Linked DNA regions of Alligator mississippiensis. The protein of the gene in region 1 purifies or fractionates together with the protein of each later gene. This does not show direct contact. Links are inferred from orthologs where the notes say so. Each region holds a gene or a part of one and is shown in the gene's direction. Other genes may lie near its edges.

What was found.
Region 2: the proteins of POLR3B (region 1) and CRCP purify together in Homo sapiens (affinity purification with mass spectrometry; 5 studies listed by BioGRID and IntAct, with this or other methods). This does not show direct contact. The link is inferred for Alligator mississippiensis from reciprocal best matches to the Homo sapiens genes POLR3B and CRCP.

What each region holds. Positions count from the first base shown.
Region 1 is NC_081827.1:104,550,518-104,558,177, reverse strand, and holds the start of POLR3B (DNA-directed RNA polymerase III subunit RPC2), read left to right. Parts: upstream 1-4,614; 5' UTR 4,615-4,650; coding exon 4,651-4,722; intron 4,723-7,089; coding exon 7,090-7,152; intron 7,153-7,660. UniProt on the Homo sapiens protein: Catalytic core component of RNA polymerase III (Pol III), a DNA-dependent RNA polymerase which synthesizes small non-coding RNAs using the four ribonucleoside triphosphates as substrates.
Region 2 is NC_081837.1:10,087,942-10,096,078, reverse strand, and holds the start of CRCP (DNA-directed RNA polymerase III subunit RPC9), read left to right. Parts: upstream 1-4,688; 5' UTR 4,689-5,299; coding exon 5,300-5,502; intron 5,503-6,704; coding exon 6,705-6,741; intron 6,742-8,137. UniProt on the Homo sapiens protein: DNA-dependent RNA polymerase catalyzes the transcription of DNA into RNA using the four ribonucleoside triphosphates as substrates.

The sequences.
Region 1 (7,660 bases):
AAATCAAACAGGATATTTATTATAAACTATTTTAAAGTCGACCTTTGGTCCTAAAGAAAACTATAAATATTAGAGACAAATTTTTATCATAGTATTTTCTTACTAACTTTTCTAGTGTAAATAAGAAAAATCTCTTGTGGCAATATCAGTTGAAATATGTTTCAAACTACAGGATTCTAAACTACCTGGGGAAACGTTTGCACTGTAACTTCCACTATACAATGAGGATTGACTAAACATTTTTGTAACCACTGAAGTGATTTGAAAGGGGCATTGTTATAGCATGGCATAAGTTAAAGCAAATACTTCATGTATTGTAATTATTGATGTTTAATACTTTGGATATGGACCTCACATCTGACCTTTCACCTGTTGCATGCCATTTTTGCTAACATGGCTTAATTATATTTGCTTCCACTCTGAATTCGTGTTGGTGAAAATAAGACAAATGTTATGTAACAGCTTTATTAAATTAAACAAATATTTGCAAGATTTTTGTATGCATTAAATTCTGTTTGTGCTAGCACTTTTGTGAGCAGTCATTCATGCACACTGTTTCTGTTAAATGTCTGAGAAATTGATTACAAAACTCTTCTTCCCCCACCCATGTCCCTCCCAGCATAGAGAACACATGCTGATGCATGTAAAGGAAAGGGATAAACCCAAAAATGAAGTCTACAATTAAGAAAACAGCTGTTGTTTTGAAATTGTTTATCTTGGTGGAGGAGTGTTGGCAGCAGAACAAATGTGTTGGGTGTTTTTTTTGTTTGTTTGTGTTTTATCTATTTTATTCCTTGGTCTGTTTTGATTTAATGAAGTTCATGGTTTTGAAACGAGCCTTAAATAATTTACACAAACCTCACGACAAAATAACATCTGATGAAGCGATAGCTCAGAACTTCCACAAAACCCAGAAAATTTGCATTTTGTTCAGAACCATTCTGGTCATGTAGCAGACATGAATGCAATTGTGTCAGCCTCATAAGTGAAGGCTTGTGTTGTCTTTTAATTTACAAGGCTGATTCCTATTTCCTATTCCCATTATTAATATCAAAAACAAAAGGGAGCTAGTGCTAGACCTAAAACTATTCAAGACATATTAAGATGTCCAGGGGATGAAAGATCTCCTTACTAAATTGGACTGATATTTTTTTAATAAGAGCTATAACCAATGGTAGAGAAAAATGGATATTGGGTGAATGTAGCATTTCTTGTGCTACACCAAGAACACCTAGTAAAACTGAGAGGCTGCATATTCAAAGTGACTTTTACCTATGCATAATAAATGCTTGGGACTTATTGCCACTAGATTCTGAGTCCAAGGCCTGGACCTACAAATCTATTTAGGTGCCCAATTCCCAGTGACATGTAATTTCTAATACAGGCATGTTCTGGGAGACTGTCCCTATCCTTGAGAAGGGCTCATTGCCTTCAACTGGTTGTTAGGCTCAATCATGGCAGAAGTTGTACAGTACTAACAGGCTAAATCCATGCAAATTTTTTATTTTAAAAATGCCAATACTACCCCTTTTAAATATGATAGACCTAGGGGAAACCTAGCACAGCAACCTGGAGCTAGGCCACTAAGGAAGGGTGATAGTGGGAATTATATGCTTAACTGCTGTTGCGGCCAGTCTTGAGTTCGTAGGTTTCAAAGAAGGATTGCACTTTTTATATAGACTATAACGGGTGGGTAAAATATGGCCCGTGGGCCAGATTCAGCCTGCCAGGCCGTTCTATCCGGCCCAAGGGGCCCCCCCCAAAATTTAGAAAACTAGTATGTACCCCTGGCTGCCTGTCAAAATGACAAGGTGAAAGCAGTAGCAGGACCTAGGAGCGGCTGCAGCAGCAAAGCCCACCCAGCCCTGCTTTTCCCCCTTCCTCCTCCCACAACCTGGCCCCAACTGGAAGCATCTGCCTAGCAGAGCCTTCTGGCTTGGCAGCCCTGGGGCTGTTCCCTCATCCTGGTGCAACTTAGCTAGGATGTGGCAGGAAGGGGAGAACTGCCAGCAATTGCCCAAGTTCTTGGAGCTGGGCCAGCTGTTGCAACCTGCAGTCCCGGTGGTGGAACTGGGAACCATGTGCTGGACTGGCCAGTGGCTGGGCGCGCAAGCAGGGAAAAGTGGCAGCGGCATGCAGGGAAATGGCAGTTGCAGTAGCAGCAAATGGGGAGAGTGGCAGTGTGCGGGAGTGCAGTGACAGCTGGGTGGGAGTGCAGGGTCTGCACTGGTGCCCTGGGGCTAGAGCCAGTGGGGACTTGGGGTTGGGTGGTAGGAGTGGGGGGCCTGGACTGGCTCTCCCTGTTGGCGCAGCCTAGCCCAGCTCCATAGAGTTCCTACCAACCTGCACCCCATGCTTCTGCTGCCCTTCCCTGGGCCCCTGCCAGCCCTGGCACCGGAGCACTGGTTTGGGCTCCACATTCCTGCTTGGCTGTTGCTGAGCCCCTGCCTGCAACTGCTGCTTCTCCCACCACTCTGCCCGTCTGCTGGCTGCTTTGGCACCACGTGGTTCCTGGCTGCATTGTTGGACCACAGGACATGGCAGGAGCTGGCCTAGCCTGGCCCCCTCAATTCCTGGCTGGTTCTGCAGTACCGGCTGGGCAGGCTCCTGCTGTGTTCTGCAGATTTGGCTGTGCAACTGGGAACCATGTGGTGTTGGAGCAGGTGGTGGTGGGGGAGCAGGAGCAGCAATAGCAGGGAGTTAGGGAAGTAATGGGAGAAAGGCAGTGGAGGGGAAGTGGCTGTGACTGGGCAGGTAGGAGTACAGGGCCCGTGCTTGTGCCCCGGCACCAGGGGCGGTGGGAGTGCTGAGCCCAGGAGCACTGGTAGGGCCTCCACCTGCCAGGGGCCCCGAGGCCTCATGGCTTGCTGCTGATGCTGGTGGCAGGGGCTGTGGGCATAAACGCCCCACACACCCCCAGCCACTCTCCCTTTCCACATATGCCACAACCCTTCCCAGTCACCCTCCCCCCACCCACTTACAGCTGTCCCCCCACAAACCTCATGCACATACAGCCTCCCACAAACCTATACTAAATATACAAGGGTAAGACTTAATTTTAAGCTATTATACTATCACTTCTATGTACACTACACAAACACAAGTAAATCAGGACAAAATATTTTTTTAATCAAATTAATGTTTGACTTTTAGAATATAATTTGGTATTTTTCTGGTTCCAAGATGGCAAACCCCCTTCCCAAAAGGAGTATTTCTGGGGGAAAGGGGAGGGACTTCTGGTGGCAAAGGTCAGGGATTAGGGGGTGGGACTTCCAGTTCCAAAATGATGACCAAGGGGGCAGGGCATTTTTGATAGGAACCAAGGGCAAATGAATATTAATTTTCTAATTTTTTTAGGGGCCCCACAGGCTGGATAGAATGGCCTCGTGGGCTGTATTTTGCCCACCCCTATCATAGGCCATCTTGCTCCATCTCTTGTGCTGCATGGTGGCTGGGAGAGGATGCTAAAAGGGAGTGTGAACTGGGTGTGACCAGGGTTTCCCCCTCCCCATTCCTGTCACTTGCAGCCTCCAGCATTTAGGGTACTTTTACAAGTGCTCTGAGCATGGGAGAGGCAGTGCTTTAATTAGAGCAGCCCTGAATGCCAGTCTAATTAGTGCTGCTGCATCTTGTGCATCAGCATTCTGTCATAACCCAATGATTTTAGTGCCTTGGCACAGTGGAATTTTCCCGCCACACTGGAGCTTCTTTGCACGGTAGAATTTCCTGCTGCAAAGAGTAAACTCCGGTGCAAAAAGTGGAACTTAATTATTAAGCACAAACTTTAATATAAATGGAGCACTAAGATTTTACTGTGAATCTTGCTACCTTTAAACTGCCACTTAAATCACCTGAAAAGCACCCTCCCTGCAGAAAGAGGGAGGGTCACTAGTTTGCACGTGCCCTGAGGTTTCCTTTTGACACTCCTGGCTCTACTTGTGCGGCTGATACTCATTTCTCTCTGCTCACATCTCCCCAGTTCGTGGTGGGATCTTGAGGAGGCTCCAGAGCTGCAGCCTTCGCTGAGGACAGGGTGGCCCTCTTGGTCCAGCCCCAGACAAGTACTCGGGAAACTTTCGGTTCTACCTCTACCACAAATATCCTGGGTGATCCCTGGGCAAATCCCCCACTCCTATTTAGGTGCGATGGTAGGGGTGGCACAGGTAGCCTGGGTGTGTAGCATGTGGCACAGTGGAGGGCAGAGGAGGGAGCAGAAAGCTAAGCAGCAAATCGGGCAGGGAGCAGGAGTTTGGGCAGAAAGCATGAGTAGAGAAGGGAAAGAGTGCACAGGGCAAGGAGCAGAAAGCAGAGCAGGGAGGGAGCACGGGGTAGAAAGCAAAGCAGAAGATTGAGAAGGGAGCAGGGAGCAGAAAGCCGCGCAGCAGACAGGCGCGGGGGCATAGGATGGGGAGCAGAAAGCAAAGTAGGAGATGGGGCAGAGAGCAGAAAACGGAGCAGGAGTTGCAGGAGCGAGCACAGGGCAGGGAGCAGAGCAGGAGCCCGCGCGGGGGTGGGTGCGGGTGGCGCTCGGCGGGTCTTGAAAAGCGGCGGAACGTTCCGGCTGCGGCGCGGGTGGGGTTGGCTGTTGCACCGCGGTCCATTGTGCGCGCTTCCGCCGGCTCCGCCTCCACTTCTTTCCCCGCCCGCACTATGGACGAGATGGCAGCCGAGCTGGGGGCGGTGAGCCCGGAGCAGGCGGCGGCTCCCGTGAACACCGTGGAGGTGAGCGCCTCCCCGCAAGTCCTGGAAGGGACGCTAGCACTGGCGCGAGCCCTTGCAGCTGAATCCCCATCCCCCCAGCGCGCATGCGTGCGCCCCCTCTGCTCTTCCGCCCCCTGGCGGCTGCCCGAACGCTGGGCTCGCGCTGTGCTGGCTGCTCGGCTGCGCATGCGCGGGGCGCCTGCCGGCATTCCCCTGTAGTGGAGCCGCCCGAGGCTGCCCTTCCCCTTCCCCTGGGGCTGGGCGGTGGGGGAGGGGAAAGGCCATTGGCCTGCTTTAGGGGGATGCCAGAGGTACCATGGCTCTGCAGTTTCTCCTCTGAGTGAGCCTGGGGGCTTCTTTCCTAGCAGGGCTCGTGTCCCTCCTGGGGCCCTGAGAATGCAGGGTTTGGTGTGATATGGTGCCTGGCGTGGGACAGGGGAAGCAATGGCAACCAGCTTGGTGCCACATGCAGGTACTGGCATGCTGAACAGGCCTTGTCATTTCCCAGGGTAGAAAAAGAACGTTGCCACTTGCTGGGTCAGATGATAGGGCAGGGGCGGGCAGTTATTTCAGGCAGAGGGCCGCTTACCCAGTTTTGGCAGGCTGTCGAGGGCTGCATGGATAGACCTGCCCCTTGACAGGTGCCACGCCGCCTGGTCACAATCTTGGGACCAATATCCCAGGGCCAGTACCAGGGGGGCCCAGAGCAGGGCACAGGCTGGCAGGGGTCCGTGGAGCCAGGCTGGGCTGCACCAGCAGGGAGGAGGGAGCTGGCCCGGCTCCATAGAGCCCTTGCGGGCTGGGACCCTGTGTTCCTGCCACCCTGTTCTGGGCCCCACCAGCACTGACCCCGGGACACAGATGCGGGCCCCGTGCTCCCACTGGACCCCTGCCCATTCACTCCCAGTGCCCTTCAGCCCTGCAGTACAGGCAGAGGGCAGTGCACAGCCCTGACCCCCTGCTTGTTAGTAGGGAAGAAGCTGGTGCTGAGCATGGGGAAAAGTGGCCCCTCGCTTGCCCCATGGCTGGCGCTCTCTGCTGCAGGCGCTTGCAGCCCATGCGAGGCTGTCTGGAGCAGGCACAGGCAGCCCCATGTGGGCTGCAAGTGGCTACAGTGTGGGGCGCTGGCCATGGGGCAAGCAAGGAGCCGTTTTTCCCCGCGCTGAGCACCAGCTTGTAACCCAGCCCTGCTACCAGCCTGGGCTCCAAGCCAGCTCTGGGCTCGCCCGTTAGCGGCAGCAGCTGCACACACCCGCCCCCCCAACTTGCCGCACCGGGCAGTGTTGGCTGCTGCTGCCTGCCCGGAGCTCGTGCGTTGGGCAGCCCAGAGGCAGTGGTGGCAAACTGCCCAGCGCAGCAAGCGGGGGGGCGCTGCAGCTGCTGTTGTTATGTGCAGCCCTGTCTGGTGAGCCCAGAGCCAGTGCGGGGCCCAGGGTGGCAGTGGTGCTGGGTCACAAGGTGGTGCTGAGCGCAGGGGGGGGAAAAGTGGCCCCTCACCCGGCACCTCACGCTGCAGCCGCTTGCAGCCCACGTGGGGCTGCCTGTGCCTGCTCCAGACAGTTCTGCACGGGCTGCAAGCAACTGCAGTGCGGGGCACCAGCCACGAGGACGGGGAGTGGCTGCTTTCCTCCGCCTCAGGAAGGAGCCCAGGGAAAAGCTGAGCACGGGGAAAAGTGGCCCCTCCTTACCCCAAGGCCGGCGCTCCCTGCTGCAGCCACTCACAGCCCACGGTGCTGTCTGGAGCAGGCACAGGCAGCCCCATGCAGGCTGCGAGCAGCTGCAGCGTGGGGTGCCGGGCACAGGGTAGGCGAGGGGCCACTTTCCCCCCGCCCATGCTCAGCTTTTTCCCAGGTCACTTTTTGCTGGGCTCTTTCCCTGCCTGGGGTCCCTCCCTGCCTTTCCCTGCCGTGCCGTGCCGTTCCCCCCCCCCCCGTGGTTCCGGCATGGGGCAGCCATCGTGGTCCCAGGCCCCGTGGTCCCTGGGGGGCAGGGCCCTGTGGGCCTCGGCACAGTGGAATTTTCCCGCCACACTGGAGCTTCTTTGCACGGTAGAATTTCCTGCTGCAGAGAGTAAACTCTGGTGCAAAAAGGTTCCCGCCATTTGTATGTAAATTTGCACCCCATTATTGGCTGATTCTAAATTATTCCTACTTGACAGCTAGTAATTGGCTCGCTAGCCGTATAAAAATCCGCGCGACTTCCGCCCAAGTCGGAGAACTTTGAGCACGCTGCAGAGTGACTTAAAAGAATTCCTGACTTGTGGCAGAGCGAATCGATAGCCTGATCAACTATCGATTTTTCTCCTCGTCGCCGAACGCTTATCCCCGACGTACCCTTTCCCTGCATGCCCGGTTCGTTTGTGGACTCACTGGCTCGGGTTTTTGCCAGTTGGAGCAACTCGTTGCAACTACGCAAGCAGCCTTTACAGCCTGCGTTGCGGCCATCAGCGGCGTAAGTAAAAACTATTTTTCCAACCAATACGCTGTCTCTCCTCTCCATCCACCAGCCCGCCTGATGTTCGCTTAATTAACCAGCGTTTCCCTCGGTCGGTTCTTCCCGGCCGAGGCACCATCCTGTACTTGAAGATGGCAGTGGGAGTGCTTGAACTCAAGCTTGTTTGATGGAACTTTAGTTCAAGTGCCCACCCCCCTCCCCTCCTGCCATTTATAAGCATGGGGACACTGATGCATGAGATGCAGGAGGCTGCTGGAGTCCTCTCCGAGTCTGCTTCAAAGTGCTGGAATTCCAGCACGTCAGAGCTATCTTCCTGCTCATGTCTGGGCACCCTTAAGGTCTAGGAAGTACACAGGCTGTGCCCCAAACTCCCATGCTCAATAGCTACTGATGCACCTTTTGTCCAAGAATTTGTCCAATACTTCGTTAGGTCTGGCTAAACTGTCAGCTTCCACAACTGGTGGCAATGAGTTCTACCCTTGAATGACAGGCTGTGTGAAAAAGA
Region 2 (8,137 bases), on another chromosome or scaffold:
TTTTAATTTTTCCTTTATTACAGGAGTTTTTAATAATCATGTTCAGTCCTTTCAGTGCTTTATATAGTGATTTGCAGGAATATACTCTTTGTATTAGGCCTAACGCTAGAAATGAATTGACTCACATAACCTTTGCCCTAAAGTCATCCTATAGACTCGGTCTGCTGGTCAGTGAAATGCACTGTTAGCTGGGTTGGTGTGGAGCAGTGCTGACATGTTTTATAAAAAGAATTGTTTAATGAATTTTGAATGTAAAAAAGATGCAAAATGCTGAATACAGAAAACATCTTTCATGACAAAGAATAGATACATTGCAGATCTGCTTTCCATAGCAGTTACTATGTCCCCTGCTTTCAGTAGTTAATACCAAGGCTCCTCTCTCATTGAGCCTTAGTGGTAACAATCACAATCCTATGCTTGAAATGTTTATACGTTGCACATTTAGAAAATTCCATGTCTGCATTCCCTATGGATACTCGAATGTACACATCCCAAGCCGCTGAGTCCAATCAGAAGTACAGAAATTAAAAACCGAGATACCTGGGCTAATCACTACTTTTGCATCTTCTCTTTGGAAAGTAGTTTGTGTGGAGCACAGTGATAATTTTGGTTGTGCATGAACTCCAGAGCCCAGTGGCTGAAGTGCATAGCAGGGCTCAGGAACGAAGCCCTAGGAAAGATATCAAATAAGATGCAGATAATTACCTGGTGTTGGAAGACAGAAATGAGATGCTAAGCATAAAAAAGCAGGTGCACGTGGTATCGTATAGCACCCGGCAGAGCTGTCGCAGGACTTTGCTCTGCTGGTTTTGGCCATATTGTGCCAGGGTCAGTAAATCACATGAACAAACAAAGGCGACTCTAGCTCTCTCTGGAGTCTGTCTGTTGATCTGGGTGTTTGTTCATTGCTGTCACTGTGCAACGACTGTGGTGGTTCCAGGGGTATGACCGTGGTGGTTCATATTTCAGTCCTTTCATTGATGAAAGAGGCTGACTCTTCTAGAGAAGATACCATTTTGGGTCACCTCCCTGGGTCATTAGGGCTCGATGGCTATTTGCTGGATCCCAAGTAATAGCATGGCCCTAAACTCAGAGGACACAAGGAGTTTCTTGTATTGCGCAGGCCTGTCCTATGGTCACGGGCAAGGCCGTTGTTTTGCGTGCTGTATCCAAAGCAATTCTCAGCTGTGTCCGGAGAAGAGCGGAGCTCGCTTTCTCTGGGTTGAAACGGGGTTGATGCAAACTGTAATACAATATATTGAGGTTATAACCAGTGGGAGGGCGGTGAAGAAGGTGGAATATTGGTGTGTCAGCTGATGAGACCCATAAAAGCACTTTAGGAAGAAATGCCTGATGGCACCCAGGAGAGGATTTCCTATAAGGTATCATGTTGTTCACACAGGTGATGGCGACATGCTGTGCGTGCAAGGCCCGGAGTTCATTTTCTGGACGGACAAAAATGATTTGATTCACTCTTCCCCTTTTATTATCACAGCCGAAGCTGGCTGGGACACACACAACTCAAACTGGTGAATTCTGGGGTGTTTCTGCCTGTGCCAAGCCTTGTGCCAGCAGTGGGCCTTTCTTTTTGTGGGCAGGTGAAACCTCTCCCTTCACCGTCAGGAGAAAGGGCAAGAAGCAACCAAAGCAGCGGGCGCGCCTGCACATCACCCTATGGCGACATAGTGACGCATGGCACGCTACGGCGACGTATCGCTAGCTACGTCGCAGTAGTGGCGCGCTCCCCGCTTACGGTGCCCTGCTCTGGAGACACAGCGAGAAAATTTAAACACGTGGTGCCCATTTGGCACCGTCCAGGCGGTTACCACACCATGTTTTAGTACTTCCAAAAGCACAGCGCAGTCACACCGTTCCCGTATGGCGATGTGTAGATGCACCTAGTGTAGGGCAAAGCTGCAGAGACCCACAACCAAAGTGTTCGGTGCAGGGCAGACCCACAACCAGGACAGGGCACACCTGCATGGACCCACAATTGGTGCAGGGCAGACTTGCATGGACCCCAAAGCAGGGCAGGGCAGGGCACACCTGCATGGACCCACAATTGGTGCAGGGCAGACTTTCATGGACCCCAAAGCAGGGCAGGGCACACCTGCATGGACCCACAATTGGTGCAGGGCACACCTGCATGGACCCACAAGCAGGGTGCTGCAGGGCAGACCCGAAGGGACCCACAATTAGTGCAGGGCAGCCCGTGCAGGGCGTTGCGGCGCGGGAGGAGCGAGCGGGGCAGCCGCACCGCGTGCGTCCGCATTGGTGGTTCAGTGGTAGAATTCTCGCCTGCCACGCGGGAGGCCCGGGTTCGATTCCCGGCCAATGCAAGTGTAACCTTTTTTTGCCGCTTCCGACGTTCTTTTTCCCGGCGGCCCCCGCGCTGCGCTGCGCTGCGCTGCGCTTCGCCCCGCCCCGCCCCGCCCCGCCCCCTCGTCCTTCTCCTTGCCCCCGGGACGCAGCACGGGCGCCATGGACGTGTAAGGGCCGCGCGGGGGGAAGAGGCCGCGGGTGCGGGGAGAGGACTGGGAGAGTCGTGGTTTGTTTTCTCCCAGAGCAAAAATGTCCCCGGGTGGGGAGTGATTCACCCCCGGGCCGTTCCCCCTCCCAAAAACGCTATTTTCTTAACCCCGGGGAGAAAAGGCCTGGCCGTGCGCATGCTCCTGGCCGCGCAGTAGATTTGCAAGCGTGGGCCGCGCAGATGGCAACATGAAGGCCTCTGAAGAAACCCCGGGCGTCTCCGAGCCTCGCTTGACGGCGGTGACACGGGGGGGGACCAGGGGCGACGGCCACTTACTGAGTTTTGGACATTGGGGAAAATTTTCTCACTAGGAGGGCGGTGAAGCGCCGCAGCAGGTCACCCGGACGTGGGGGAGGCTGCATTCTTGGAGGTTTTTAAGGCCTGGATAGAGGGGGAGGAGGATGAGCTGTTTGGTTTAGAAATGGATCATTTTTGTTTAATTTCCTATAGGAGCGTACCATGGCAATTGTATTCTAAAGTATATCTTAAAAGAGTGGCTCTTATGGACTAAGATGAGACGAATCTGTAGTACATGAGGATGATCTTAGTAATTTAGGTTAAAAAAATACTTTTTTTTCCCAAAGGAATCTAAAATATATTTACGGAAGAGGTTTCAAATTAAGTCATTTTTTTTTTTCCTTTTCCATGTACAGGTTACTCCTAAGTGCGCTATGTAGATAACTGATGTAAAATCCCCAAATTAGAATTGCTATAAAAATAAACTGCATGCTGATATATTGCATGCATACTTTTTGGTTGTTCAGACGTTCATACGACGGTGCAGACTGACATAAAAACTGAAGTCTGTTTCTGCTTTGCCAATTTTTTTTGTAATGATACAAATCAACCTGAATAAGCACGCTGGCCATAATGTTTGCTATATTATTTCATTTAAAATCCTCGTAGCTTGACAAAGTACTGAACAGCAAGAGGACTTTGTAGCTATAATAAATTTGTATCTCCCCATACCCTTAGCAATAATCAATCCCGCTAGTAAAAACTTAATTTTTTAAGTAACAGCTTGACAACTGGATGGGTTTCTGTTTGCTGTTAATTGGTACAAAAGAAGTTTAAGTGCTTGTGGTCCCAAAAGGTTTACCATTTTAAAAACAAACCCACGCTTGATTTAAACAGTATAAAATCGCAGTTAAACGAACTGCTGATTCATTCTGTGCTTGCCTGTTGAATATACAGTCCAGGATCTTCTCAGTTTTTTTAATGGAAAGAATCTGTATGTAATTCTTCCATGGCGCTATTATTTCCAGAAACAAAGAACATCCTCCGTGCATAGGGATTTCTGCGGAGATAGGCTGAATGCAGATTTCAAAGAATTGTGTTTACCTAAGAACAAAACTACAAAAGCTATATGGCTTGTAAAACATGAATGGAAACTGATGCGTGTGTGAGCTCACTTGCTGAAGTTTCACTAGAATCAGCTAATTGGAATTTTAAGTTCATCTCAGCGTATTTTACAAGGTCCCTTTCATTTAAAAACAATGATAGAACCTGTGGACGTTTGGAAGGCATTCACATGTTTGACTGTGATGAATGTGACAGTGCTATTCAGAGAGTTGATGGTGCTTGACAATGCATTTTGCTTTTTTTTATGTGCTGTCGCAGACCTGAGAAAAGCCCTTTTTTTTCCCCTTTGTATGGTAACTGTCTGGTGACTCAGCAGAATGCATTGTTCTCAGGATATATGGCTAGCTCCTCGCTGCTTGTCCTACAGAAGTTGTATTTACTTGAAAATATGAAATTACAATATTTTCTAGTCTAATTAATGGGAGCATGCTCAATTCAGAAATACACTTTACTCAGATTGTTCGATCCAGCAATAATATGTAAGAGCGATTCTTGCATAATTGGATCAGCCCCGGGACTGTGGGGAGCAGCCCAGGCTGTGGCATGTGCGGCTGGTCCTGCTGCCCCCAGGGTGCAAAGCAGGCTAGGGGCAGCTCCTTCTGACTGCCACTGCCACTGGACCCAGCCTCACTGCCAGGAGTCCCACCCATGTGGGCAGGGTGGGCGGCCAGGTGGAGGGGATGGGGCTGGGGAGCGGTGTCCAGGAGCAGCGCGGGTGGGGAAGGCCAGGGCCAGGCTGGAGCCAGGATCACAGGGCAGTAAAAGGGCCTGGGGCAGAGCCTTGATCCGCTGCCCACGCATCCCTGCAGTGGGCACTGTTTCCGCAGGCAGAGGTGTGTGGGGAGCAGATTGCAGTTCTGCATCAGTTCCTGGCCTCACACTATCACTGCCCCAAGATCCTGGATCCGGCTCCTCTTGCATGTCCAGCTCCTGGATGCTGCTCCCCACCCACCTGCGGCCCCATCCCATCCACCTGGCCACACTACCTGCCCAGGATTGTGGGGCAGTGGCAGTGCAGGGCTGGGGCCCAGGGCAGAGCTGCGATCTGCTCCCCCCAGGCCCCTGCCCGCAGAACCAGCACCCATTGCAGGGGTGTGTGGGGAGCAGATCATTGCTCTGTCCATATTGTCACATCCCCCCCGGTTCCAGCCCTGGACCTGCCCACCTGTCCTGCTCATGGATGCCGCTTTCTGCCTGCCCCGCAGCTCTATCTCAGCTGCTGGCTCATCATGGAGTCACTTAGGGAGCTTTGGTGAGCTGTTGATGGTGGGGGTGATTGCTGACCTGGCCCACAACAGCTCACCAAAACTCTGTAAGCGGCCCTCCAGCCCAAATAATGCCCACCCATGCTATAGAGTATGTGTGTGTGCATAGTTACAGATACATATATAGACCTCACTTACCTGTATGTGTGTTTGTATACATTATCTATTGTGGCAGGGCACTGTGTGCGCCTGCCACTTTAAGGGCCTGGAGCTGGCAGCCACCAGGTGCCTGACGAGGGCAGCCATTTTAGAGGCAAGGGCTGCCTATATAAACAGGGCAGTTTGGCTGCTGGAGGCCAGGCAGCAACATCGCCTGGCTGGAGAGCTGCCGAAAACAACCTGGAGGTAAGGGAGGAGCTGAAGGGGATGGTAAGGAGGCTCCTGGTCCTGGGCATGACCTCAAACTGCCCCCTGCCGGGAGTGGGTGGCCTGGTGGGGCTCTCAGTGGCGCGGGAGCCCCCAGGAAATGCCAGGCCGGTTACCACCCCGGTGAAAGGCAGGTCGGGGCGCCTTAACCCCTTGCCCCCACCAGCGGGGGGGTAACCCCAGTGTTTGTAAAGGGCCTAGAGGGCGGACCCTGGGAGAAAGTGAGGGGCTTGAGACCCGACCCGGACGAGGGAGTCCCCTCGACTGGCCCATGCTGGGGCCAGGACCAGGAGGGTCTAAAGGGCGAGGGATGCCCAAGAGCCAGGGGCCTGGGGTCCCGACTGGCCTGGAGGTGGGCCAGGGCTAGTGGCCGAAGGTCCCGGGGGGACCACACCCGAGAGGGGAAAATGGCTTTGTGGGGGGCTAGGTAGCCCAGATGAAGGCGGAGAGGCCGCCTGATCAGAGGGATCGGGGAGGGGTCCTGTTTGGAAGATTCAGGGGCCCAGCGTGGGGGCCGGTGAGGAGATGAACACCTAGATGCCATCTGCGAGGCTTGGGCTGCGGTATTGGGGAGGATAGGAGCCACAGAGAGCACCCCCTGGCATTGGGGCACTAAAATGGGTAGCTTCCCGCTTATGTGACATCTATTAATGAATCAATTAACGCCAAGGCGTGGCAGGTGAGATAGCGGGCGGTTGGCCCAAGGACAGGTGGGCAGGCCATGGAGATCGGCCCTGAGGAAGCCCCCTGTTACATCTCAATATCTGTATCTACCCACTCGGTAGATTTCTGTTATTGTTTTGTGCGTCACTTTATCCAGACAAAACTTTAAGGAGCAAGGAATAACTGAATGGGCTGTTAATTGAAATGGTAGTAGGCTGTCCCAATTCAGAGGATTTTGCTGAGCAAGTTAAACACTACTTTGTGGATCAATTGAGCCAAATATTCTTGTCTAATAGTAATAAGCATAATTAGGTTGTGTAAAATATTCGTGACTGCCATAGGTAGCAACAGCCAGGAACAGTGGAGGAATTAACAAAATTGTGATCCTGAGAATTTTATTGGAAAGAATTCCTGAATTTAACGATTTCTACTTTTTAGTGTTAGTAGAGAGGAAGATGGTGATTTTTAAATTTTTTTTATACAAAATATTCTGAAACATGTTTTATTCCTTTTTCTAGAAAAGATGCCAATGCTGCATTGCTGAGTAACTTTGAGGTAAGTTTACTCGTACCCTAATTTTCAGTAGAGTTTAATGCCGTGATCAGCAGCTTTTTAAGACTGCAGGTCATATTGACACAGTTCAAGTCAGAGGCAGATGGACAAAGGGAGGTCCCATGGCAGGCACAGGAAAAACACACACCACTGCTGCTTCCCCTCGTGCTGGCGTGGGAAGAGTGCCTGCCACGGCCACTTTTCCCTGTACTTGGTCCCACTGCTTTTTTCCTTGCATGGGCACAAGGAAAGCATTCACCTCTGGTGTGGGCAAAGCACTTGCCACAGCCTTTTCTCCCCGCATTGACACAGGAAAAGTGCCTGCTGCTGGCACAGGGAATGCATCTGCTGCTGCTGCTTCCTATGCCAGCACCAGAAAAGTGCCCGCCACTGGCTTAGGGAAAGTGCCCACTACTGCTGCTTTTTCCTATGCTGGCACAGGAAAAGTGATTGCTACTAGAGGTGCACCAATACATGGGTCCCATATCAGATTGGCACCGATATAAGGAAAACTGACTATCAGATATTGGCTTTTTTTGGCTGATGTGGCCAGTAATTCCCCATGCATCCGCCCAGCCGCAGTGCAGCACACAGGCGGCAGGAGCTCAGCCCAGCAGCATGGAAAGCAGCTGGGTCTGGCTGGTAAGTCTGTTGTGAGGAAACGGGCATGGGGACGCAGATCGAGACCCCTGTGGTGAGGGAGGAAGTGGGGCTAGGCAGGGGTTGGGGCAGGTGCTGCACAGCTGGCGTGGAGCGGGGGACAGAGCCACAAGCGACTTGTCCGGAGGGTGCGGGGAGAGGGTGGCAGCTCTCACTGCTGCATGCACCCCAGGGGGGCATGGCAGGTGTGTGCCCCTGGATCTGCGCACAGGGCGAGGACAGGCTGTTGCTGTGGGCTGGGGCCGGGGCTGCGCGGAGCTCTTCCTGGTGGGGGGGCTTGGGCTGGGGCTGCGCTCGGGACAGGCAGCGGTTCTGGGAGAGAGGTTGTGGGGGCTACAGTGAATTTTGGGGTGGCTGTAGCCTCCCCATATACCCCTCTCAGTGCTACCACTGCCTGTCCCGAGTGTAGCTCTACCCAGCCTCCTGCTGGGAAGAGCCTGGTGCCCACCCTCGCCTTGTGTGCAGATCTGGGGCACACGCCCCCCCATGCCCTCTGGGAGCTACCACCCCCTCCCCATGCCACCTGGACAAGCCACTAGTGGCTCTGTCCCTCACTCCGCCCTGGCCGTGCAGTGCCTGCCCCTACCCCTGCCCCATCCCCACTCTCTCCTTTATAGCAGGGGCCTCAATCCCCTTCCCCCGCAACAGACTTACCAGCCAGTCGCCCCTTTCCATTGTGCCTGGCTGCATATCAGAATCGGATCAGTATCGGCTGATATGGCCCATTAAAAATCAGCCA